5 linked regions of the Macaca fascicularis genome follow. The protein of the gene in region 3 interacts with the protein of the main gene of each other region in a pairwise test. Links are inferred from orthologs where the notes say so. Each region holds a gene or a part of one and is shown on either strand. Other genes may lie near its edges.

Region 1 (5,145 bases), on a different chromosome or scaffold from region 3:
AGAGAAACACCTGCTGCTTTTTAGTTGAAACTAGAAATGGAAATAGGTAAATGCACAAGTTCTACATTCCAGTGTGCCTCCTGTGGTAGCAATAGCAAAGAAACACTTTCGCACATCAGGCTAAGTAGGAGACCATCACAGCATCCAGTCTGCTTACTTTAATAAAAAAAATCATACATGAGCCTTAATGTTAGGGCATCAGCAACAATTGTATTCTGCAGACAGTTAATTTAGACACAGCCCAATTCCTACTACAACTGAAAAATAAGATCAATGTCAATTTTCATGAACTAAAATTTGTTCAAGGTTTAAAAAAAGTTACACCAGCAATGCCAAGTTTTTCATATATTTTTCCTAAGTGACATTCAGAAATTTTACTCATATCCCTGTAGAAATCATAGTCTGCCAACTCTTTTAAATGCCTATTTCTATTTTCCTTTACATAAAACTAAGGAGTTGTCAAATATCTTTCAGAAAAACAAAATGAAAAGAATTTATATGATATATATAACTGTCATGAGTCTAATACTTTATATAGACATTTAATTATCTAGATCACTTATTTTCCTATCTTTTGTACCATTAATGTTTTTCTCCATTAAATTATTCTTTCCCCCATATGCAACATTTTAGGTTGTTCACAATTCGTTGTTATCAATTTGCCATGCCCTTCAATCTTCTCTTTCTCTTTTTCTCTCTTAGCCAATTTACGACACCAGATTAGCCACATATGTTGAGTGTGTGGATCGCCAAAATTATAAACCACAAATGGCATAAGTTTGAGGAATTCAAATAACTCTGGCAAACTCTAACCTCAACTGCACCCAACAAAAATGAACAAGAAAAGACTTTCCCTATCTTAAGCCTCTAAAAACATTTTCATAGAAAGCAGAGTTAAAGCCATCCTGCCACTTCTTTTTAGGCTTTTCAAGACCTAAATTCTCTAGGTCTCATCATCTTTCTCTTTCTATTTATTTATTTATTTAGAAAAGCTATTTGCCATAGGGAAATTTGGATATATAATAAATACATGAGAGAATAAGGTATGCCTAAATGGGACACTTCAGAATCAACATAAATTTTGGATCTCACCTGCAATTTTGAAAGTCCTATTAATTTAAAAACTAGTAAATACCTTAATATTCATGATAGCTTACTGTAAGATTCCCTAGAGGCAATGAAGATGGGAATCTCAAGAAAACTAAAACTACCATACATCTTGGCTTCAGAGGTGAAAATAGGGGGAGAGGATTGGCTAGTTATCAACAGAAGGGAAAGTGCTTTTTGCACAGAGAAAGAATAGACAAGGCAACAAAAGTGGCAAACTGTAAGGGCCAATACACATCCACTGCTTCAAGTTTTTCAGCCATGTTCCATTCTCAGAGATTTCTGGTAGTACTTCAAGAACACCGATCTCCAAACTCCTCCTGAAAAGGGCTAGGAATGCTTCTGCCTGAAGATCTTACCTATTCTTTCTGGGCCCCATGATCTCCCTACATGATTGATCAACCTACTATTTCAACTCGAAAAAGCCTTTTCACAAATGTCAACTTCAGTGAGGCCTCCATTTAAAAATGAACACCCTACCAAGTCCTTTCCTAATTTCTGATTACACCCTGTGAATTTACATCAACCTACCCCACACCCTCAGTTTATGCCTCTTTTGAACATTCCTGCCGGGCTTCTCCTTTAAATCTTGCCTGGAAGGGGCGGAGCTATGTCCCAGGCTCACCGGGAGGAGCGTTCCGTAGGCTCCGCCCACCTACGTCTCAGAGGGCGCCCCAACGAACCCTGGATAAGGTCTCTTCCTAGTCCGCTCCGGAAATGCGACTGCGTACGCGCTGGACACGCAGTCGTGACGTCAGCGCGCCCGCGCCGGCTGGCCGGACGCCCTAGGCTTCCGCGAGATCTTAGGTGGGGGTTCGGTTGCTTTACGCCACGGCACTGCTGCGGTTGGGTTGTCACCTGTAGGCTGTCTGGACCTGGTCACGATTCCACAATGTACCACAACAGTAGCCAGAAGCGGCACTGGACTTTCTCCAGTGAGGAGCAGCTGGCAAGACTGCGGGCCGACGCCAACCGCAAATTCAGATGCAAAGCGGTGGCCAACGGGAAGGTGAGGTTTTCCCGACGGTTGCCCAGTTGCTTGGTCACTAAATTCTGAGCAGCTGCGGGAGCTCTTCTGGCTCCCAGGACAGTCTCACTCCCTCATTTCTCTGCCTCTGCGGCGCGGAGTGCGTTTATCTATTAAAATAAGCGAGCACCTCGCGAGGTTCCGTGGGTACAAAGACGAACAACGCCATCCCCGTGGTCGAATGGCAGACAAGTAACCAGTCTTTGTAACGTGGTGAAGAAGAGAGTAGGTAGTGTGCTAAGGTAGTGCGTGGCAAGAGCCGTTCACTTGTCAAGCGGTGATGTTGGGGAAGGTTTTTCCCAGTAGCCAATGCGGAGAAAATGGGGAAAGGACGTTCCAGGCAGTCAGAACTACCGTGCAGAGTGGGAGGGAGGTCAGAAGTTACAGGGCTGGTGCGTGGACGTGTTTGTGGTCGTATGTGGCCGAATGTGAGTACCTGTACAGGAATGGCTGGGGAGGGTAGGAAGGGAACTTGTTTGTAAGTGGAAGTGAGGCGTTTGAAATTTCCATTGAAAGGATGAGGAACCTTTGAAATATTTAAAATGGGAAGCTAACCTTATCAGATTTCCGTTCTGGAAACAGCGCTCTAGCAACCTCGTGGTGAATGGGTTGGATGAGGCGGGAGACCGGCGACGGAATACAAACCAAGTGACTAAAGATAAGGTTTGGACTGTGGCCCGCTAGCCAAGTCCCTTCTGTTACAGCTCTAGGACTGGTTTAATCTTTCTTACAAGCTCCACTCCAGCAAGTGTTCAGTGCCTCCAAATTACTGACACTGAATTACTTTACTTTCTACCTTTAATTCACATCACTGATTTTAGCACCTGAATTAGTTTCCTTAAGGGCTGCCTTAAAAAAATCACCACAGACTGGGTAGCTTAAAATAACAGAAATTTATTGAAACATTTGCTGTTTTTTTACAACTTGTGTCGTAATGACTGACCGAGAAACGAATGTTGGAAGCTTTCCAATCATATTTGTAAAAAGTCTATCTACTTTTAAATTTGTAAATAATGATATCACAGCTGTGAGCATATGCACATAGCCTATCGTGATTGTTTATATAATGAAGCAAAGGTCTAGCTGACATTCCGAAAAGTTGTGAAATGATGGTACAGTTTTAGTTTATTGTTTTCCTACAGCTATTTTGTGTAATGATTAGCGAATCTATAAAGAAAACGAGGCGTGATATATTCCCCTTCGTTGGAGATATAAACTAAATTTAATCTGGATAGAGAAAAATGTTTTACAATTGTTTAATTCATTGAATTCATTGAACTTGTGTTGTAATTGTTGATCTAAAGGTTCTTCCGAATGATCCAGTCTTTCTTGAGCCTCATGAAGAAATGACACTCTGCAAATACTATGAGAAAAGGTTATTGGAATTCTGTTCGGTGTTTAAGCCAGCAATGCCAAGGTCTGTTGTGGTAAGTTACAGTAGTGATGAAATATAATGTCCTTTAGTTGACTTGTGAAATTTGACCTCTTCTAAATTCCCTGTCCACTCTAGTCTTAAAAATTCACGTTAGTTACAATTAATTAGTTTTTGGCACATTATATCTTTTTCAGTTCAGGCCTTAACTCTTGAATTGCTGTATCATATCTTCAAAAGTATTTCAAGTCTCATTTTGTGGTCAGAAAAAAATTTGAGGTCAGGTAATGTTATAAAGAAAGAAACAAAATAAATTACTTTCCTCTAAGTTCTCAACTAGTGAGCCATAGAACTGGGACTAGAACATAGACTACTTGCTTTTCCAACTCTGTGACACCCAATAAATGTTTGAAGTAATGCATTCTTTCATAATTGGTAATCATATGCCCCAGCTGAAACTGATACCATAAGATTTTTTTAAGCCTTAATTAGTAGAAGCTGGAGTTTTATCTTTGGTTAAAAAAGATTGTCTTATTGCTTCAGATGTATGGTTCTGAGGACCTGTTTGTTTTTTGCTGGGGTGGGCAACCGTGAGGAGAAACAGGTAGCTGAGATTAAAAAGCAGAAAGATAAAAAAGCTAGAGTGGGAGGGTGTTTAAAATGTCTTTACGTTATTCTCTCACAGGTTTGTTGCAAAGAACAAATATAGAAGTGTATCTTAAGTAAAAGACTGTTAAATTTTAAAGTTATACAGTGTGACTAGCTTACGACCGAGTAGAGAATAATCTTCTGGGAAATTATCTCCATTTTTATAGTTGAAAAAAATTTGAAGTATGTTGAAAATATTAAGTCCATAGAATTTATAATTTTTTTTTCATCTGAGATATCAAAGATTCAGAGAGAGTTTTAGGTATACTTGATTAGTTTATATCTTCAGATTTGGTTTATTCTTACAAAAGAACTAAAATGAGGCAGTAAATTTAAGTGATCTTATCAAATGAAGAAAAAAATCCTTTAATGAACTTCTTTATGGAATTTATTTTTAAATAACATGTTTATCATTGGTGAATAATTTTTTGTTATACATAATGACAAAACTAAACTTTTAAAATACTTAAAAGGAAATATTCTTTTTTCTATCATAAAATAGATTAGTGGTTATTTCATTGGTTCCAGCCAAATGATATAATGGTTAAAAGTACAGGCAGGTCTTACTTGAATTCATTCCTGTTCCTTATTAGCTGTGTGACCTAGATAAGTCAGTTCACCTCATTGATACTCAGTTTCCTTCTCTGTAGAGATAGCAATATTTCACCAAGCTGTTGTAAGGGTTAAAACATGATGATAGTTTTGTGCTTATCACAGAGTCTGGCACTTGGTATGCATTCAGTAAATGGTAGTGCTGTTTCTGCCATTCAGTTGGCAGCAGTGATCACAAATCATGGGAATGGATACAAAACAATATCACAAATATGTAGTGGCTTTAGAGAGAAGGCTTATTGCCTTGCTCATTATTTTTATAAGATTGGTTAATCTGTGAACATTTGTATTTTTCTTCCTGAATTTATCTAATTCAGGACATTTTTGATACTCTGACTTCTAAAACATACACACTCACGTATTTTTAAATCCAGTGACC
Region 2 (5,154 bases), on a different chromosome or scaffold from region 3:
TTGGGAGGCCGAGGTGGAGTTCAAGACCAGCATGGCAAACATGGCGAAATCCCGACTCTACTATAAAGTACAAAAAACGGCTAGGAGTGGTGGCTCACGCCTATAATCTCAGCACTTTGGGAGGCTGAGGCGGGCAGATCACCTGAGGTCGGGAGTTCGAGACCAGCCTGACCAACATGGAGAAATCCCATCTCTACTAAAAATACAAAATTAGCTGAGCGTGGTGGCGCATGCCTGTAATCCTAGCTACTTCGGAGGCTGAGGCAGGAGCATCGCTTGAACCCGGGAGGCAGAAGTTGTGGTGAGCCAAGATCACACCATTGCACTCCAGCCTAGGCAACAAGAGCGAAACTCCATCTCAAAATATATATATATATGGATATAAAACTAGCCGGCCAGGAGGCTGAGGCAGGAGAATTGTTTGAACCCAGGAGATGGAGGTTGCAGTGAGCCACTGTACTCTAGCCTAGGCGACAGAGTGAGACTCTGTCTCAATAATAAATAAAGTAAAATAAAAGTGAAATAAAATAAAATGAGGGACTTAGATGCTGACATTAGGGTATCTAATAATGTTCAGCAAGCTCACCCTGGGGCCAAGGCAAAACTGGAATCAGAAAAATAGAAGCTGGCACTATGTTCTCTGGTGACCAAGCCCTGTCTGTCCCCCTCCCTCCTGGCCTGGGCCACTAGGACCCTGATTCCTAAGGATGCAGAACACAGCGTAGGCCTGGCTCATAGTAAATGCTCGGTCCATGTTTGCTAAATAAACATGATAGACAGGGCAAGGTTTCTCAGATGGTGCTCAGAGAAACACGAATTCCAAAAACACTAATCCCTAGGAAAAAGAGGTTCTTACTGAAATAAGCTTAGGAAACACTGGATACAACAGCTATCCTATGGAGTCCGTGGGATGTGCCAGGTACTGTGCTACTGCGTGGGGGCTCTGCAAACATCGACTTTTCACAGGAAACTTTCTGGACAGACAAGCTCCCCTCCTATTACCCACCAGGTAACAGCCTGAGAGCCTTAAAGGTAGTGAGAGACTCAGAATTTGTACCCTGGTCTGCCTGACACTAAACCGGTGCCCTTTCCACTCCATCAATGCTGCTTTTAGACCATCGCACACCAGGCTGAAGAGGTGAGAGGATGAGGTGTTTCCCACAAGAACATCTGAATCCTCAGGATAGATGGAGGAGCAGGGACAAGAACCCCCAATCTCCGAGACAGTTTCTGGCTCCTTCCTTCCAAAAAGCCCTACACATTATATCCACATTGAGGCCCTCATGCAACAGGCTACTCATTCCTCTTCTCAAAGGAAGTGCTGAATGTCTAGCAAGTTGGAAAGAATGAGGGATTCTTCTACTGGGTTACCTGGTTAGCTCCAAGGAGAGTTAAACCAGGAGAAAGTTGTTCAGGCTGGTATACCTCCCTATCTGTTTGTCCTTGGGGGCCAACTTAAAAGCAGTATTTACACAAGTCTCCAGATTCAAAACTGTCTCCTCTTTCTGAGGGATCCACCCCAACAAACCTTCCCAAATCTCATTCACCCATCCCCTCCCCCAAAGGCAAAGATCTCAACTTCCTTCAGCCTCCTACCAGCTTGTTCTCGGAACCATTCCAGGCAAGCACAAGCCCCTGGCCCCGAGAAAGTCAGCCTCCTGGCTGGAAGAGGCAGGTGGAGACAGCTTCCTTCCAGCTCTGCCCGGTCCAGGGGAAACGGAGCCTGGAGGCCACACACTCCAAAACCACAGCCAAATTATCCCTGCACTCAGGCAACCAAAGACACTGACTCTTGCCCACGGCTATGTAGGGAGGAAGAACAGTCCTAGCCAGAACCAATATCCTCGAAGAGAAACACACACTCAAGAGACGTGGCATCACACACCTACTCAGAGATACTCACACTTTCAGAGAGCCCCTTCTTACGCAGACACATACACACACTCTGTCACTCACGTTCAACACAAACAGATACGCCCACTGGAAGCCAAGGTGAGTCACACGTGAATAGATATCACCCACACAGAGACTCAAAGCGAGGGAGACGCGCAGTCAGTTGTCACACAGATTCAGCACAGACGCAGTCAGTACGCGAGGCCTCAGGTGCCTGAGCGCAGCGGGGGAAATGTTCACTTTGGGGTTTGAAAGTTCTGCTCCCTGGATCGATTCACTAGTCTCCATCAGGGAACACAGCAGCTTCCCAAGCCCTGGGGTGTAGGACCTTTTGCAGGCGTCCCCCCACTTTCGCATCGCCTGTGCACTTAAAACAGGCAGTCCGCTTACCACCAGGTCTCTCCCTTCCAGGCTCAAAAAGGGCCCAGCAGAAAAGGGGCATGGGTGCTGAGTCTCTTCTGTTGCCGACGCTCTCGGTTCTGCCTCTCCGGTCCTTTCCACACCGGCCTCCCTCTTCCCCAAAGTCCCGAGTGTCCACCCCCCTTACCCGCCCCTGGAGCCGCTTCGCCTCCACCAGCCTCAGTCGCGCCGCCTCCACGTGCCTCGCTCTTCCCAGTCTCCTCCCGAGAGGGAGCACCGCACTCACCGCGCAGACTCCTGCCCTCCGGCAAAGTCCCACCAAGTCCCCGCTCCCCAGCCTTACCGGTCCCAGGGTTCGGGAAGGTGGGATGTGTGCGCTAAGCCAGTTCCAAGGAGTCCGCCCCGAGCGCCAACTCTTCTGGCCGCGGCGATCGCTCTGCGGGGACGACAGGGCGTCAGCGCGTAGAGCCGGGCTCCGGCCGGGGCCGACGGGCGGCGCAGTGAAGGCGGAGCCGCGGGGCCAAGCCCACCCCGCGCCGACCGGCCCCGGTGCACCCAGCGGAGCGGAGCGGAGCGCGCGGGAGGGAGGAGTTTTCCCAGAATGGGACTGACGGGAAAACACGGGGATCCCTATTCCTGGAGGAGTGAGTCAACCGGGAGCGAGGAGGGGAGCGCGGGGCGGACGGGAGGGAAGCGGGAGAGGGGCAGCGAGCAGCGTCGGAGCGCGGAGGGAAGCCAGGGGTCGGGACGGAGCGCGCCGGAGCGCAGAGGTCCGAGGCGGGAACGCGGGCCGCGGAAAGAAAAGAGCAGCCGAGCACGCGGCGCGAGCGGTCGGCTGCGGCGGCGGCGGCGTGGGGCGCGCGGCCCGGGAGGGCGCCGGCGGGTGCGGCGGGCGAGGCGGGCGCGGGCGCCTCTCACCTGGCGGGACGCGGCGGCGCCGGAGCTGCGGCCCTCCCGCCCCCTGGCCTCGAGTGTGCGAGGAGGACGCTGGAATGCGCGGAATGAGGGCTGGAATGAGATGCGCGCCGCGGCGGGAGGGAGGGAGCGGGAGGGAGGGAGCCGGAGGGAGTGGCGGCCGGGCCACCGGCACCTCGGGGAGGAGACTGCGCGGAGCGCGGGCGGGCGAGGGGCCGGGCCGCAGGGGCGGGGCGGGGCCGGGCCGGGCCGGGGCGGGCGGCGGGGGAGGGGGTCGAGGAACCGCGGGGACCCCTCCACCCCGGCCTCGGCTGCGGCCCCCACGCCCACTCGCCCTTCGATCTCTCCGCTCCGACTCTTTGCCTGCTGGTTGCGCGCCCCGCGCCCTCCCGTCCTGGCGGGGTCCCGACTCTCTTTCCCAGGAGCCGAGAGCCTTCCTCTTCGCCGGGGTGGGGCTGTCCCGGGGGGAGGTGGACGGGGCCCGGCCTCCCGCCCCGCCACCCGGCGTCCCTCCGTGCGAGTCCCTGGGAGGCCGGGGAAGGGGCGGGCGCCCGGCGCGCAGGAAGGGCTGCTCCCTTCCCTGCGGCTCCCACCAAAGGACACTTGCTCCGGGGAACCAGGAAGCAGGAACTCGCGGGCTCCATTCCCGGATCCGCCGCCAGTGCCCCCTCGCTTGCCCTCCCCGGCTTTAGCCCTTTCCGTTTTTCTCTCCTGCCCCTTGGGCATCTGTAAAACTGCCACTACGAGTAAACCACATGGGAGAAAGGGCACTCGGTTTGAAGTCCATGTGGCATGCCCCGAGACGCCTTTTGGGCTCAGTGACTCAATGAATATTCATCTAATATGTATGATGAATCCAGATACTGTGAAGACCAGGATCAGCCCTCAGCACCTGCCCTCAAAGAGCCCAGAGTTTAGCTGGGGAGGCCTCGGAGTATACTGCCATCGGCGAGAGTCTGGACTTCAGACACACATGCCCAAGAGTCTCTTGTTGGGGCAGGGGGTGCTGGAAACACGCTGGGCTCCTTGTTTGGAGACGCTCAGGACAAACGGGCTTAAAGCAGTGTGCTGGCAGACAGCGCCATCATCTACCTGGCCAGGAGACTGAAACCAAAGGACTTTTGGCTTTTTCCAAAAATCAAGTCCAAACTTTTCTGGGGCGTTATCACTTAGCCTTGTGTTGGGTGGTTGTCTAGATCTTATCTCCCTTGCCAAACAGAAACTTCCTTGAAGACAGAGTAATGTCTGATTTATCTTATCTTTCACACAGAACCAGCCTGGTGCCTGGGATAGGGAAGTGCATGATAAATGCTGCGTAAATGAAAAACAATTGCTACCGTGGAAGATATTGAAAGGAAAGTGCTTTCGGTGCCAAAGTTGTTTCCAAGAGAGGTATTCCAAAAGTCTTTCAAGCAATGACGCCGTCACTGAGCTAAGCATCCACTCCTGCAAGGTGAAGGCGTTGAAGACAAAGCCCTCATTTGAATAGATGAATTGTGGTATTTTTATTAAATAATGAGTCATATCAAGGCTTGGTCATGCCTCATGCACATGAAAAGACCAAAACACAAGGCAGCGTATCAGCACCACGTGAAATACACACTAAGCACCAACTATTTAATTCAGCAACATAGGGGGGGGCGCGGTGGCTCACGCCTGTCATCTTAGCACTTTGGGAGGCCGAGGCAGGTGGATTGCTTGAGCCCAGGAGTTCGAGGCCCGCCTGGGCATCATGGTTTCCTGCACCTGTAGTCCCAGCTACTCAGGAGGCTGAGGTGGGAGGATAGTTTGAGCCCAGAAAGTTGAGGCTGCAATGAGCCGTGAATGCATCACCGCAAGCCAGCCTGGATGACAGAGCGAGACCCTGTGTCAAAGTAATTAATAATAATTATATGAATTCAGCAATCATTTGAGTGTTTGTTGACTTTGACACCGCAGTAAGGGAAGGGGTAGGTCCCTTTCCTCAAGTAGTTCCAGTCTAGGTGA
Region 3 (4,691 bases):
GTGAGATAACATCTTCATCATTAAAACCTTCCAGGTGTACCTTTGAAACTAAGACAAAATCAGTAAGTTGACATAGGTTTTATAGCCACCATTTAGTTTACAGTGTTTCTACACATATCGTTAAAATAAGGGCTCTCAGAACTTTTATCTTTCTAGAATTTTATAGGTTTTCTAAAAAGTAGTTATGTCCTTTGGCTTTTTAAAATTTCATAAGCTATAACAAAATTACATTTATATTATTTTAACATTATAAAAAATTTTTAAGCAGCACAGCAACTACAGGAGTTCATGACAATTATATATTTGTACAATTTTAAGACTAAATGATATGCTTACAAATGGAGCTCTATTGCCAAGATTTAATTTGTAAACCATATTTATTCAAGATTATGTCCTAATTAAAAACAGACAAAATGGCCATATTCAGAGAAGAGAAAAATAAAATCATTATGTTTTTGTTGACACTGCTTCAAAGATCAATGACGTGTCACAAATCTTGCTCTCAAATATTAAATTCAACAAACACGAAGTCCAAACACACTTGCTATTTGCTAGTAGACAGCACTGACTCAAATGAACAAAATCTCGAGTATATTCATTTTGGTGTTGTAATAATAATTTTGCCGATTGCTCTTTACTACTTAACATAATGGCATTGAGTTCATATTTTGACAATTTAAATTTTTTCTTTACATAGGCTTCATTTACAGAGCAGAAATCTTCATTTTCCTAATTTAAAAGCAAACTTTACCAAGTAGAAAATATTAAGAATATATTCATCAATGTAGAGCTATGTATAAGGAAAAAGAATGTCTGAAATAATAAAGTGAAAAAAGCACACTAAACAAAAATATAGGTGACATTCAATTTTTAAAAAAATTTTAAAAATAAGTATCTTGCAAATCCATAGAGGAAAGTCTAGAAAAATATACACCCAACTGTTAAGTGTTATATGTATGGAATGGAGACCTGGATATTCTACTTTATGTACTTCCAAATTAATATTTTGCATTAAACATCTATTATTTTAAAAATAATTTTAAGTGAATTACTAGGAACACAGTAATCTGCAAGCATCTAGAAATAAGCAAAAAGTTCCTATCTATACTATGATAAATATTTCTTGATTTTTTGAGAGTCAGTAAAAAAGACTCAGTTTTCTCTCTTTTTTGGGGGGGAACAGGTGGTGTGTGGTTACACGAATAAGATCTTTGGTGGTGATTTCTGAGATTTTGGTGCACCCATCACCCAAGCAGTATACACTATATCCAATGTGTAGTCTTTTATCCCGGCTCAGTTATCTTTATTCGATTGTATACTGCATCCAGAGCAGATGGATCCATGATGTCCTCTTTTCAAACATTCACCCTGAGACCAAAGTGTATTTTTCTCAGTGAGGTTCAAACCTCACATCTAAATGTATGTAAAATCTTGGCTGTGCACTGTGGCTCACACCTGTAATCTGGACACTTTGGAGAGGCCAAGGCAGGTGAATCACTTGAGGCCAGGAGTTCAAGATGAGCCTGGCCAACACAGCGAAACCCCATCTCCACTAAAAACACACCAAAAAATTAGCTGGCTGTGATGCGCGCCTATAGTCCTAGCTGCTCAGGAGGCTGAGGCAGGAGAAATCACTTGAACCTGGGAGGCGGAGGTTACAGTGAGCCGAGATCGCACCACTACACTCCAGCCTGGGTGACAGAGCAAGGTTCTGTGTCAGGAAGTAAAATAAAATAAAATGAAAAAATAAATGTATGCAAAATCTTGCTTTCAAACCACCAAACTGAAGTATATAGTACTTTAGCTCTGAGCCTACAGATATAGCTTTCTAAGTGACTGAAAATCAACACCTTACCAAATGTCACAACTCACTTTACATGCAGAGAAGCAGTGGTTACCTTGGTTATCAAGTTTTTCTACATGACTTTTCAAAATTCTCCACTGTTTTCTGATGCTGTTTGTAAGCTGCTCTCTCACAGTTTCACAGGAAAGGTCCCACATGCTCTCTCTGCTCAGTTCCCCGGCATCTTCTTCAACATCAGAAATAACCTACAAGTGGAGAGAGATGAAGAGGAAAGGCTACCACCTTACAATGGCTTTAGATGCTCAGGCAAGTAGTCTTCAGTTTGATTTCCAGAGGGAGCCGCATCCGAAGCATTTCTGTGCTGTGTCTTATGCACATATGACCCAGTATTTAACATAAATGTCTTGGAAAAAAAAAAAAGAAAAAGACAGAGACTCCTAAATTCAGCTCGCTCTAAACCTGAATTTGAATCCAAATACAGTTAATGACAAGAGTCATGAAGCTGTCTGAGGAGATATCAATAGCTGTCTAATGTGTTGGATGTTTTCACACGTTATTTAACCCTCAGCTCATTACAATGTAGGAAAACTGAGGCTTAGAGAAGCAGCATTACAACTAAGAGGCAGAACTGATATTTGACATTAGATCAACTTGTTTCTAACCCTAGGCTGCTTAAAGAAACACATTTGTGAAATAATCTCTGAAGTACTTAATAGAAGCAACTGTTAATTCTATTTTCCTCATGTACTTTTGTATACAACTGGAGATATTTTTCTTTGTATTCTGCCAAAACATGAAATCATAAAGAAGTAGCAAACTTTACTGATATATGATCATACAGAATCAAAGCAGGATAAAGAACATGGGGAAACAATACTAAAATGGATATATGTCATAATAACCCACATCTACATAAAGTAGTTCTAATTTGTCATTAATATTCAGGAAGGTAGAAAGATACGCTTCACTAATTTGAACAATAAAAATCTTGCTGGGGTAAAAAGGAAGACAAAAGCTGAAAAGAAAGAAGGGCTGATTCGACTGCTCTCACATAGAGATCAGCAGGATGAGGGAGCAACTGAGTCTGAAGAACTCTATCAGTAGTTGAGGTCAGCAACGGCTAGTAGAGGTCAGGGATTCAGAGGCAGAGCAGACAGGGGAATGGCCCAGGATCTGGCTCATGGTGATTCTAGCCCCTTCCAATCCTCAAAAGCTACTTGCCAGTAACTGTTTCAAGGAAGCACAACTTGTCTTCTGAACATTTTAAAGCCTATTAGAATACTACGAATCTGTTAGAAAAATTATTGGCCAGGCGCAGTGGCTCATACCTGTATGTAATCCCAGCACTTTGGGAGGCCGAGGTGGGCAGATCACAAGATCAAGAGATCGAGACCATCCTGGCCAACATGGTGAAACCCTGTCTCTACTAAAAATACAAAAATTAGCTGGGCGTGGTGTTACATGCCTGTAGTCCCAGCTACTCAGGAGGCTGAGGCAGGAGAATCGCTTGAACCCGGGAGGTGGAGGTTGCAGTGAGCCAAGATGGCACCACTGCACTCCAGCCTGTAAACAGAGCGAGACTCTGTCTCAAAAAAAGAAAAATGAGTAATTATTGCACATTTCTCAGATTGAACAGAACTCTGTAACCACAAAATGAAAATTAAAAATTTGGCTGGGCACAGTGGCTCACACCTGTAATCCCAATACTTTGTTAAGGCCAAAGTGGGATGACTGTTTAAGCCCAGGAGTTCAAGACCAGCCTGGGCAACAAGACCCTGCCTCTAAAAAACCAAAAAACAAAACAACAAACTCATTTTACCTGAATTTTTGGTATATGTTTTAGCTACAAGTAAGTAGGTCAAATAATAAATGAAACCTGGATGCTACCTAGGCATTCCAAACATTACATCTTATTTCTCTCGCTATAATGCTTCAAAAATCTTTCCCTACAAAAATGAAAGAGAAAAGGGAGCTAGAAAAATGGATCTTTTAAAACTAGAAAATATATTCAAGAGATCGTTGTTAGTCCACTTAAACATCTGAATTATGAAGAATTATACAGGATACTACCCACTGGCTGAGTAATGGGGGTGAGGAAGGTTTAATCACTGGAGAAAGATCTCCCTGATTTGCCACATACTTTTGCTGACTGAAATCTGGTGATGAGACGTTAAGGTTGGACCAAAAACTGAAGACGCTGCAGGAGTAACGGACACTATGCTAACCTTTAAGAAGTATTAGTGAATGTTAAGAACTGACTAGAAGTGACAGAGTTTGAGATAAAAAGGTTACCTACATATAAGAGGTCAAGCAGGCCTCAAAATGGAGAATGTAAAAGATATTCGGGAATTCAAGACCAACCTGACCAACATGGAGAAATCCCATCTCTACTAAAAATACAAAATTGGCTGGGTGTGGTGGTGTATGCCTGTAATCCCAGCTACTCCGGAGGCTGCGGCAGGAGAATCACTTGAACCCGGGAGGTGGAGATTGCAGCGAGCTCAGATGGTGCCACTGCACTCCAGCCTGGGCAACAAGAGCAAAACTCCGTCTCAAAAAGGCCTGGCGTGGTGGCTCACGCCTGTAATCCTAGGACTTTAGGAGGCCGAGGAGGGCGGATCACGAGGTCAGGAGATTGAGACCATCCTGGCCAACATGGTGAAACCCTGTCTCTACTAACACATACACACACACACACACACACGCACACACACGCACACACAAATTAGCCAGGCGTGGTGGCGGGTGCCTGTAGTCCCAGCTACTCGGGAGGCTGATGCAGGGGAATCACTTGAACCCGGGAGGCAGAGCTTGCAGTGAGCCAAGATTGTGCCACCGCACTCCAGCCTGGTGACAGAGCAAGACTTTGTCTCTTAAAAAAAAAAAA
Region 4 (5,128 bases), on a different chromosome or scaffold from region 3:
GTGAGGTCTCCCGCAGGAGCCGGACCTCCTCCTCCAGCCGCCGCAGTTCTTGCAACTGCCGAGCGATCACCTCAGCCTGCTGGCTCAGGGCCTGTGACCCCTCCAGCTCCCAGGACCTTCAAAGACAGGTTAGTGCAGGTGAGACTTGTCTCCAGTGCTGGAAGGATAGTTGAGGGTGTAAACATAGCCAGAAGGAAAAGAGGACCTCTCTGCCCCCGTGTGAGGAGGTGAAGGGGGTGCTGAAGCTGGGGTATGGGGATGTCTGCATTGACATTATTATCATTCATCAAAGCCCTATTGAGCATGTTAAGTCCAGTGCCTGGACTCACAGGACCTAAAGTCTGGCTGAGATGATGGAACATGATCTCCCTAGAGAGAGCTACATACAGACAGATTCAACATCAAATGTGTATATCATTAGGCCACACATTCTTTTTGTTTTTTGGTGTTTTTTTGTCTTATTTATTTTTTATTTTTAGGCCACACATTTTAAGTGGAAAGGTTGGAAGAACAGAGACTTCTCAATTCTGATTTAAGGGCAAGAAGTTTGAGGGAGGAATGGGCATAGAGAGAGCTGAGCTTCCAGTATCAATATGGTGAGGCCAGGTGCTAGTTAAAATGCATTTATTGAGTGTTAGGTATACTTTATGAGGAGTCTGAGAGAACAGTACATAAATAACATAGTGCCAGCCTTTGGAGACATTGTCTACCAATATCACGTGAAGTTTAATCTAGCTTGGAACGTGGCTCCTGAGGCAGCTGTCTCTCTGACACCCAGGACCACAGGAGATTGTTGTTGTTGTTTTTAGAGACAGGGTATCACTGTGTCACCCAGGCCTCAATGCAGTGGCTGGATCATAGGTCACTGCAGCCTTCAACTCCTGAGCTCAAATGATCCTACCACCTTAGCCTCCCGAGTAGCTGGGACTACAAATGCATGTCACCACAGCTAGCTAATTATTTTCTGTGGAGACGAAGTCTCACTTTGTTGCCCAGGCTGGTCTTGAACTCCTGGGCTCAAGTGATCCTCCTGCCTCAGCTCCCAAAGTGCTAGGAGTATAGGTGTGAGCCACCATACCTGGCCTTTTCTTTATTTTCTTCATTTATTTTTAAGTATCAGGGATTTGTAGGCTAGGGAAATTGACTTGCCAAATGTCCTCTAGCTGGTAGCCAAACTAGAAAGAGAGTCTCTGTCTCCTGACACCCAGTCTAGTGCTCCTTCTTCTTCATCGTGCTGCTGCTTCTAATGTAATCCTACTCTGGAGCAAAATGGCAGAATGATATCCCAGTACATCTGGGAAGACACATGAAACAACAAGAATAAGAATGTTTACAGACAATACGACAGCATGGCCAGCTCCCATAGCATGTCCTCTGTAAAGGCTTTCTTCCATCAGAATGAACCCACACTGCCACAGTCCTGGGTCTCTACTTCTAGTTTGCACTTCTTCATCTTGCCTCATACTATGCTTTACCATCAGTTGATGGTCAATCTATCTCCCCTCTTAGGATTTTAGATTCCTTATTAATTACAAATTTAAGTCAGGATTTGTCTTATTCATTATTGTTATCCTCATCCCTAGCACCTAGCACACTGCTTTATTATCTAAGCACTGCAGGAACTAATAATTGCTTGCATAAAAATGAGTAGGTTCTGGAAACTAGGGCCGAAATAGGGTAAGGAGTTTATTCCAGTGAAGAAGGGTCACTAGCAAGCCAGCCTGAGAAAACAGCGAGGATGGATCCCTACCTGCCTCTCCGCCCTGGCTCCTGCCTGTCACTGGAAACATCCTGTTTCCACATGGTCACTTGAGGTCTCTGGGTGTCTAGTCGCCTCTCTGAGACATCTTGATGGCCTGGGGGTTGGACCAGGGGAATGTCTGAGAGCCAGGTGGGAGCCATTCTCGGCAGAGTTGAAAGGGGCCGAGCTTGAAAATGGGAGGGAGGAATCAGCCCAGTGGAACCTGAAGAATTACAAAATCAAAGATGGTCAGTTTCCCAGGCAGAGACAACCACCACTCCCCTTGTCTGGTCCCACTGACCTGAAGGTGGAAACATCTCCACATTATTTGAAGGCTCTAGATTCTGTCTCCAGCCATCTATGTTCCCCTGGACAATAGGAGAAACAAAGACACTCCAATTCAATTTTCAGGCCACCTTCCAAAGAGAAAGCCCCTACAATAACCAAGTCATAATCCTTGAATTACAGCCAGGTCCACCCGATGCTCAGCTCTTTTCCTACTTCCCCAAAGAAGTAGGAGATACCCCAAATTCACTTGCTTGTCTCAACCTGGTTCCTCAGGGAACCCAGGCAACTATCAAGTGGAGAGAATTTACTGAAAAAGACAGACCGAGAGGGGCTCTGAGGCTTTACTCATACTTTCAGGATTCTGGGCAGTGCCTTTACCCTCCTCCTTAAGTTTCTATGGTCCCTGCTGCCCCTGGCCAGAGGTGAGAAAGGAGGTACACAGTGCAGGGGTCTTGAGCGCCATCTCCAGAGTTCTCTCCATGGCTCAGCAAGGCCTGGGGGAATCCCATCCAGACACCACCAGGCCATGACTCTTGGGTCCTTCCCTATTAAAGTGCTGGCCCAAGGCCTGGCCCCAGCTGAATGTGGCCACATGCAGGGCTAGACCCTTCCCAAGACCTTGGGAATCCAAGCAGCCTAGATCCCCAGGCAGAAAAGCCAGCGTCCTGACATCTCATCCAAATCTTTACTGCGGCTGTCCTCTCAGCTTCTCTCTACTATCCTCTCAGCTTCCATGCCTGCCGCCCGCCTCCTCTTTCTCGAGTCCTAACACATAGTGGGCACTTTAAGACCTTCCCCCCACCCTCCCACCCTCATTAATCTATTTTTTACCCGAATCTGGGATCCCTACTCCGGTCCCTTTTTACATCCTAATCTACTTTTTTCTGAAGGAATTGTTCTGGTCCTCACCCTCACCCCCATCTCTCAATAGTCTGCTCTCGCCCCCTGTACGCTAGCCGGCTCTGCTCTCCCCCCACTGCTCCCCTAGATACCCAAGGCTGTTCACCCAGTTGGCCCCTGAGCTCTTAGGCTGTTCTGATCTCCTCATCTACCCCTTCACCTGGCCCCTGTTCCCCCTTCCCCTTTGGACCCCTTGAACCCTCCCAGCACCCCCGCTCAACCCCTTCCCGCCCACAACCGACTCTTCCCGAACGTCCCTTACCCACCGCGAGAACCCCTACTGCGCCTTGACCACACCCCCTACGCCTCGCTCCGGGCCCCGCCTCTGCCTCGGCCTCTGACCGCGCCTGCGCAAGGCGGGGGCCCTAAGGTCCTATCTCCCTGTAGGGAGGAGGAAAGGTGTACGCAGGCGCAGTGGCGTCTAAATCTGGGCCCACAGAATGTGTCGACGCCTGTCCGCGCCCAGGCGGCTCCTCCCCACTGCGGGAACCCGGGAAAACTTGTGAACTAATCAGAAAAAGCGGAAGGCGGGAGATCTTAGGGAGCCGTCCAATGGCGCGGAAGAGAGCAAATGAGCTGGCCAATCAGAAACGGCACGGGGGCGGGCTCGCTCGGCGCGAAGTTCGGGCCCGGGAATTCCGAAGGAGGGGTAGGCGCTGCCCGCGCGCCGAGGCCGCGCCCCTCCTGGCCCCGGCTTCCTGGCTGTCAAACAGCTGCAGCAGTATCGGCTACAGCAGAGGAGCCCAGGGGGTCCCAGGACCCGCGGCACAGGCTGGCACTGCTTGAAGAGGAGGCTACTCGGAGACTGCACCGCGCTGGTAGATCCGAAACGGGGCTGGGGCCGAGAGGGAAAAGGCCGGGTATGCCTTGCATGATCGCGGGGAGCCCCTTCCTGTTTTTATCCCACCTAGAGAAGCCGGGAAGTAGGGGTTTAGGTCCAATTTGTTGGAGTACTTAAGAACTCGTTTGCACTTCCTTTTGGGGGATGACAGTAGATTCATTGCCCTCGGAGGTTCAAACTAGTTATGAGTGAGGGATTGGCCAGAAGATCGGGGCGCAGGCAAGCGGGAGTGCTCTATTAGGATAAGCAGGTTTGACAGGAAGAAGCTGCTCTTCTCCGAATTACACAGAGGTGATGTGTTCGTACTGCACGTAGACGTGTGTATAACAGGACCTCCCCCCCGCGCCCCGCCACACCGACACACACAGGAGCTGCCTAAAGTATCCTTGCCTTGCAGATTGGAGGCTCCCCAGATATTTTGCGACCTGAGGATCCAGCTCAAGTGAGGTGCCACAGGACGTGGTCCTGAGTTTGCATTGCACGGAGACCTTCCTGGAATTTTTCATTTGCAAGTCGGCTTAACAACCGATTCTGCATTGAGTCCTAGGCTGCTTGCACTCTGAATTTGGACTATTCAGGTAGTGTGCTCAAAGTTGAAACTGCACACAGCACAACTCAAGTTTGCATCAGACTGGTAAGCGAACTTAAGCCAGCGGTGCGTGGCCCAGGAGTGGGAAAGGAAATGGATCCCTAAAGTGGAAGAGGTGGTGCAAAGGGGGCACCGCCCATGCTGCCCTGCTTCCAACTGCTGCGCATCGGGGGCGGCAGGGGCGGTGATCTCTACACCTTCCACCCCCCCGCCGGGGCTGGCTGCACCTATCGCTTGGGCCACAGGGCCGACCTGTGTGATGTGGCTCTGCGGCCCCAGCAGGAGCCTGGCCTCATCTCTGGGATCCACGCCGAACTGCACGCCGAGCCCCGGGGTGATGATTGGAGGGTCAGCCTGGAAGACCACAGCCTCCAAGGTGAGCAGTAAGCAGGGCAGCTTTGCCCCTGGGTGGTTGAAGTTCCAGGCTGGAATGAGTAAGGTCTCCACAAGACCCTACTGCCTGCCTCCCATACTCCCATCAGATTGGATGGATGGTAATTGTCCAGACCTTCATCTTCCCACTAGAAGTATGCACAGTCAGAAGCTCTCTGCCAGACCGACCCTTGTTGGTCCCGTTTAGCTCATACAGGACCTGGGGTATCATCAGAAAGATGTCACAGAGGGGATGTTTAGAGGCCAAGTTTAGACTTGATTCAGTTTCCAGCTTTGCTGAGGCACTCTGTTCCTGGGTTAGGGCAGTTCTATGTTGAATAATGTTTTTGGTAATCTGGGTATATGTCTTTCTCCCTGACTTGAGGGAGTTAGCCTC
Region 5 (5,397 bases), on a different chromosome or scaffold from region 3:
TAAAAAAAAAAAAAAAAGTCCGGGCGCGGTGGCTCAAGCCTGTAATCCCAGCACTTTGGGAGGCCGAGACGGGCGGATCACGAGGTCAGGAGATCGAGACCATCCTGGCTAACACGGTGAAACCCCGTCTCTAATAAAAAATACAAAAAAAAAACTAGCCGGGCGAGGTGGCGGGTGCCTGTAGTCCCAGCTACTCGGGAGGCTGAGGCAGGAGAATGGCGTGAACCCGGGAGGCGGAGCTTGCAGTGAGCCGAGATCTGGCCGTTGCACTCCAGCCTGGGTGACACAGCAAGACTCCGTCTCAAAAAAAAAAAAAAAAAGCCGGGCGCGGTGGCTCAAGCCTGTAATCCCAGCACTTTGGGAGGCCGAGACGGGCAGATCACGAGGTCAGGAGATCGAGACCATCCTGGCTAACACAGTGAAACCCCGTCTCTACTAAAAAATACAAAAAAAATAGCCAGGCGAGGTGGCGGGCGCCTGTAGTCCCAGCTACTCTGGAGGCTGAGGCAGGAGAATGGCGTAAACCCGGGAGGCGGAGCTTGCAGTGAGCTGAGATCCGGCCACTGCACTCCAGCCTGGGCGACAGCGCGAGACTCCGTCTCAAAAAAAAAAAAAAAAAAAAAAAAAAAAAGCAGGTTGGGAAAATCTACAGGGAGCAAGGGAAATGTGTGCGTGTTATTTAAAATAAGATCATGAGAGGCCGGGCGCGGTGGCTCAAGCCTATAATCCCAGCACTTTGGGAGGCCGAGACGGGTGGATCACGAGGTCAGGAGATCGAGACTATCCTGGCTAACATGGTGAAACCCCGTCTCTACTAAAAATACAAAAAACTAGCCGGGCGTGGTGGCGGGCGCCTGTAGTCTCAGCTACTTGGGAGGCTGAGGCGGGAGAATGGCGTGAACCCGGGAGGCGGAGCTTGCAGTGAGCCGAGATCATGCCACTGCACTCCAGCCTGGGAGACACAGCGAGACTCCGTCTCAAAAAAAAAAAAAAAAAAAAAAATCTTTGGGAGGCCAAGGTGGGCAGATCACGAGGTCAGGAGATCGAGACCATCCTGGCTAACACGGTGAAGCCCCGTCTATACTAAAAAAAAAAATACAAAAAATTAGCTACACACCTGTAGTCCCAGCTACTCAGGAGGCTTAGGCGGGATCATCCCTTGAACCCATAAGGCAGAGGTTGCAGTGAGGCCACTGCACTCCAGCCTGGGCAACAGAGCGAGACTCCGCCTCAAAAAAAAAAAAAAAAATATATATATATATACACACACACACACAAACATACACATACACACACACACACACATATATACACACACACATATAAATTAGCAGGGCGTGGTGGTGTGCCCCTGTAATCCCAGCTACTTAGGAGGCTGAGGCAGGCGAATTGCTTGAACCCCGGAGGCGGAGGTTGCAGTGAGTCGAGATCACACCACTGCACTCCAGCCTGGGCAACACAGTGAGACTCCGCCTCAAAAAAAAAAAAAAATATATATATATATACACACACACACACACATACATATATATACACATATACATACACACACACACACATATATATACACACATATAAATTAGCAGGGCGTGGTGACGTGTGCCTGTAATCCCAGCTACTGAGGAGGCTGAGGCAGGCGAATTGCTTGAACCCCGGAGGCAGAGGTTGCAGTGAGCCGAGATCACACCACTGCACTCCAGCCTGGGCAACAAGAGTAAAACTCTGTCTCAAAATCAATCAATCAATCAATAAATAAATAACTTAATTTTAGAATTCGTCTTCCAGATATGTTTTACACAGATCATTCATTCATTCCACAGATTTTTTTACAGCATCGAAAGAAGCTTGCTATACACACATCGGTACATTTTTATTATTTTAATTATTAACAGCATAGATGTTTTCATGCCAGTTTTCATAATCATTGTAATGATAATTGTCGTGATTGTCTCTCCGTCGGGGGGAAGAATCTGGGTGCAGGGCTTGGGGACCCCTGCGGTCCGCGGCGTGGAAGTGCCGCTTCCTGGGGTGCTCCCGGAATCCGTGAGCCAGGGAACCTAAGAACGCCGACCCGCCGAAGCCGGAGGGCAGACGCTGGCACACCGGACGCGGGGACGCCAGAAGCGGCTGGACCCGGAAGTAGGGGTTGCTGGTGGCCGCCCCGGGAGCAAGGACCGGAGCTGGATGCGAGGTGTAGCTGCGGGTGAGCGGCAGGCTGTGGGCCCCTCGCCGGGCGGCTCAAAAAGGCGGGAAGCGCAGGCCTTTTTCTGGCTTGTTTCCTCAACGTTGGCCGGCGGAGGACCCGCGAGCTCGGGAGAGGGCCCGGGCCGGGCTCTGCATTCTTGTTGCCTCTTCCCTGGCGGGGGTGATCCTCTCCCGCGGGGCTTGCTGTAGGGGTTCAGGAAGGTGGAGATGGGCCCGCCCTGTGCCTGCAGGGAGCAGGCGCTGTGGTTAATACTTTTGTTTTCCGAACCCTCCCACAGCAATTTGAGGTGAGGTCTGCTGTCCCAGTCTCACAGGTAGGGAAACTGAGGCTCAGGGAGGCTGTGCAGCCGCCGGGGCCCAGATTGGTGCGGTACACCCCCAGGCAGCTTCCACTCGCCGCCCCCTAGGCCCTGGCTGGGTTTTGAGGGCACCCAGGTTCTCTGACCTGTTATCTAAAAATGAAGTGGGGTACTTTTGTGAACGAATTAGCTGGAATCCAGGGGCAATAATTTCTGGCAGAAGTGAAAGGTAAGATGTTCCTCGTCTTGCCTTTTTATCTTCTCACCTTTGGAAACAGGACCTGAGAGGCCAGCCTAACTTGGTCTTGATGGCTAGCCAGTCCTGGGATTCCTTTGCCAAGGTCGCCTGACGCTAGTGTGAATTGTTCTGAACCTCCATTTACTCACGGTTTTAAAAAATTACAACACCTGCCTTATGGGGTTGTTAGCAAGATTGAATAGTGTTTGTAACTATGGTGTGCCTAGTACAAAGGGGGAGCTTAAGAAATGGTTGTTGCTGGGCGCGGTGGCTCGAGTTTGTAATCCCAGCACTTTGGGAGGCCGAGACGGGCGGATCACGAGGTCAGGAGATCGAGACCATCCTGGCTAACACGGTGAAACCCCGTCTCTACTAAAATATACAAAAAATTAGCCAGGCGCGGTGGTGGGCGCCTGTAGTCCCAGCTACTCTGGAGGCTGAGGCAGGAGAATGGCGTAAACCCGGGAGGCGGAGCTTGCAGTGAGCTGAGATCCGGCCACTGCACTCCAGCCTGGGCGACAGAGCGACACTCCGTCTCAAAAATAAATAAATAAATAAATGGTTGTTTCCCTCTTTTCCTGATTCTAGAAGTATTTGGTAAAGTTACTGAGGTGGTAAATCCTAGGAATTTTAATGCTATTCAGACCACTGCTAGGCCTACTCCCAAGCCACATCTGCTTGTTTCTTTTTTTGTGTTTGTTTTGTTTCAGACCGAGTCTCACTCTGTCGCCCAGGCTGGAGTACAGTGGCGCCATCTCGGCTCACTGCAACCTCCGCCCCCTGGGTTCAAGTGATTCTCCTGCCTCAGCCACCTGAGTAGCTGGGATTATAGGCACGCACCACCACCCCCCCAGCTAATTTTTGTATTTTTAGTAGAGACCAGGCTTCACCATGTTGGCCAGGCTGGTCTTGAACTGCTGACCTCAGGTGATCCACCTGCCTCAGCCTCCCAAAGTATTTGCTCACCGTCTGTTTACCATGAGAATGAAGAAAGCAAAACCCCTGTTCTCGTGCTGCTTATTTACATTCTAGAAGCTGTAGGACGAGCCAAATAAGTAGATGGAGGCTGTACCAGGTGTAGTGGTGAGTGCTACAGGGAAGCATAGCTGGGCTGCTGTTCCATCAGAATGCTCACAGAGGCAGGGCAGGATCAGGCTTGGGGCACGGGTTCTAGAACAACCAAGTCCAGCCACTGGAGATCTGGTCTCTCTGACCCCACAGTCCCTGTCTAGGATGCTGGCAGAACTGCCTGGTCCCTGGTGTGTCCTCGTTATGTCATACATAATTGCTGGCTACTCTGGCATAGACATGAGAAAATCTGAGGAAACATTTTAACACAAAACTTCCTACTTTGGAAGAGATGGGAAACTTACACCCTCACAGAACAATCCGCCTCTGCTTCGAGTTTTCCCTTTTGGCCTCTGGCTTCCCAGGGTGAGGGAAGGGGAGTACCTAGGTCTCTTTTAAACCTCACTTCTGGGCCTCTGATTTTGGTAGAATCAAAACTTCCCCAGAACAGAGAGCAGAGGCCAGTCACAACCACCTTGGTTGTTCATTCGTTCACTCAGCAGGCATTTAATGCGTGCTGGGTGCCAGGAATACGGCAATGAACCTGACAATTGTGGGAGACACAGACTGCTGACGCCAGATGCAGTCTTCAGGAGGGGGAGGGACAATTGCGGGAGAGACAGACGGCTGAGGCCAGATGCAGTCTTCAGGAGGGGGAGGGGCAGGGGTCAGAGCAAGTAGACTAAGGGGGAAAAGTGGCCTAGGCCGAAGCCTGCTGGCACATGGGGAGGAAAGGTGGGTGCGCAGCAGAGCTGTGGAAGATGCAGCTGGAGCTGTCATGGGCCGGAGAGCACATCTGCAGACAGTGCCATCATTCCTCAAGGCCTCGGCTCTCACTCTGGGATGGTTGTGTATTTAGGGGAAGCATCCACTTACTTATTTTGAGGAAAAAAGTAAATTGTCATTTTATTTGGGGCAGCTTTCTGGTCAAGCTTACTGATTTCACTGTGGTCCTGTGATCTCTTAAGTGGGGGACAAGGTTGACAGCCCAAGGCCCACCTCAGACTTCTTCCCCCGCACAGCATAACAAGCAGCAGAAGCCCCTTTAGTGAAGGAGGTTCCTTTGGCATCCTTTCTGAACAATGCCCTTTCCAACCCTCCTTTATTCTTCTGGTTTTATTTTATTTTAAAGTCCCCTGTCTTAGTTCTTGTTCCTCAGTCACTTGTGTCCAGGTGCTAAATGTAAAAGGTACAAAAGAGAATGTGGTGAGGAGGCCTCCCCAGCCCTGACCTCCAGGCCCTAACACCCACTCCAGGTGACTGCTTGGACTGTTTGTTTTATATTCTATCCAGACATATTGCCTCTTCATAATCAAATGCACACGTGTGCACACATATGTGTGATCACAGATGGCAGTGCTCTTTACACATCGTTACGTGCCCAGCTTTCTTAGCATGATTTATCTCAGTGATCGGATCCACGTTAGTATGTACCAAGCAGATGCTTTCCTTTCTAATGCTGCCAGATGCTCCACTGTAGAGAATGCCATGCTTTTTTTTTTTTTTTTTTTTTTTTGGAGACAGAGTCTCACTCAATCACCCAGGCTGGAGGGCAGTGGCGCAATCTTGGCTCACTGCAAGCTCCGC

Evidence for each region.
Region 1: the proteins of SSX2IP (region 3) and CCNH interact in binary tests that used the Homo sapiens proteins (3 or more experiments, as listed by UniProt). The link is inferred for Macaca fascicularis from reciprocal best matches to the Homo sapiens genes SSX2IP and CCNH.
Region 2: the proteins of SSX2IP (region 3) and TEAD4 interact in a two-hybrid assay, tested with the Homo sapiens proteins (2 studies listed by BioGRID). The two-hybrid records come from large-scale screens. The link is inferred for Macaca fascicularis from reciprocal best matches to the Homo sapiens genes SSX2IP and TEAD4.
Region 4: the proteins of SSX2IP (region 3) and CCHCR1 interact in binary tests that used the Homo sapiens proteins (3 or more experiments, as listed by UniProt). The link is inferred for Macaca fascicularis from reciprocal best matches to the Homo sapiens genes SSX2IP and CCHCR1.
Region 5: the proteins of SSX2IP (region 3) and TOP3B interact in binary tests that used the Homo sapiens proteins (3 or more experiments, as listed by UniProt). The two-hybrid records come from large-scale screens. The link is inferred for Macaca fascicularis from reciprocal best matches to the Homo sapiens genes SSX2IP and TOP3B.

What each region holds. Positions count from the first base shown.
Region 1 is NC_088380.1:91,395,326-91,400,470, reverse strand, and holds the start of CCNH (cyclin-H), read left to right. Parts: upstream 1-1,889; 5' UTR 1,890-1,999; coding exon 2,000-2,116; intron 2,117-3,438; coding exon 3,439-3,561; intron 3,562-5,145. UniProt on the Homo sapiens protein: Regulates CDK7, the catalytic subunit of the CDK-activating kinase (CAK) enzymatic complex. CAK activates the cyclin-associated kinases CDK1, CDK2, CDK4 and CDK6 by threonine phosphorylation.
Region 2 is NC_088385.1:3,837,759-3,842,912, reverse strand, and holds the start of TEAD4 (transcriptional enhancer factor TEF-3), read right to left. Parts: upstream 3,257-5,154; 5' UTR 3,172-3,256; exon of another isoform or gene 2,690-3,171; 5' UTR 2,336-2,689; coding exon 2,284-2,335; intron 1-2,283. UniProt on the Homo sapiens protein: Transcription factor which plays a key role in the Hippo signaling pathway, a pathway involved in organ size control and tumor suppression by restricting proliferation and promoting apoptosis.
Region 3 is NC_088375.1:149,991,615-149,996,305, reverse strand, and holds part of SSX2IP (afadin- and alpha-actinin-binding protein), read right to left. Parts: intron 2,050-4,691; coding exon 1,899-2,049; intron 49-1,898; coding exon 1-48. UniProt on the Homo sapiens protein: Belongs to an adhesion system, which plays a role in the organization of homotypic, interneuronal and heterotypic cell-cell adherens junctions (AJs).
Region 4 is NC_088378.1:141,510,196-141,515,323, reverse strand, and holds the start of CCHCR1 (coiled-coil alpha-helical rod protein 1), read right to left. Parts: upstream 3,257-5,128; 5' UTR 2,624-3,256; coding exon 2,381-2,623; intron 2,176-2,380; exon of another isoform or gene 2,110-2,175; coding exon 2,043-2,109; intron 1,965-2,042; coding exon 1,751-1,964; intron 117-1,750; coding exon 1-116. Other genes in the region: TCF19 (transcription factor 19), read left to right, coding at 4,498-4,735. UniProt on the Homo sapiens protein: May be a regulator of keratinocyte proliferation or differentiation.
Region 5 is NC_088384.1:31,144,718-31,150,114, forward strand, and holds the start of TOP3B (DNA topoisomerase 3-beta-1), read left to right. Parts: upstream 1-2,141; 5' UTR 2,142-2,184; coding exon of another isoform or gene 2,185-2,203; 5' UTR 2,204-2,492; exon of another isoform or gene 2,493-2,519; intron 2,520-5,397. UniProt on the Homo sapiens protein: Releases the supercoiling and torsional tension of DNA introduced during the DNA replication and transcription by transiently cleaving and rejoining one strand of the DNA duplex.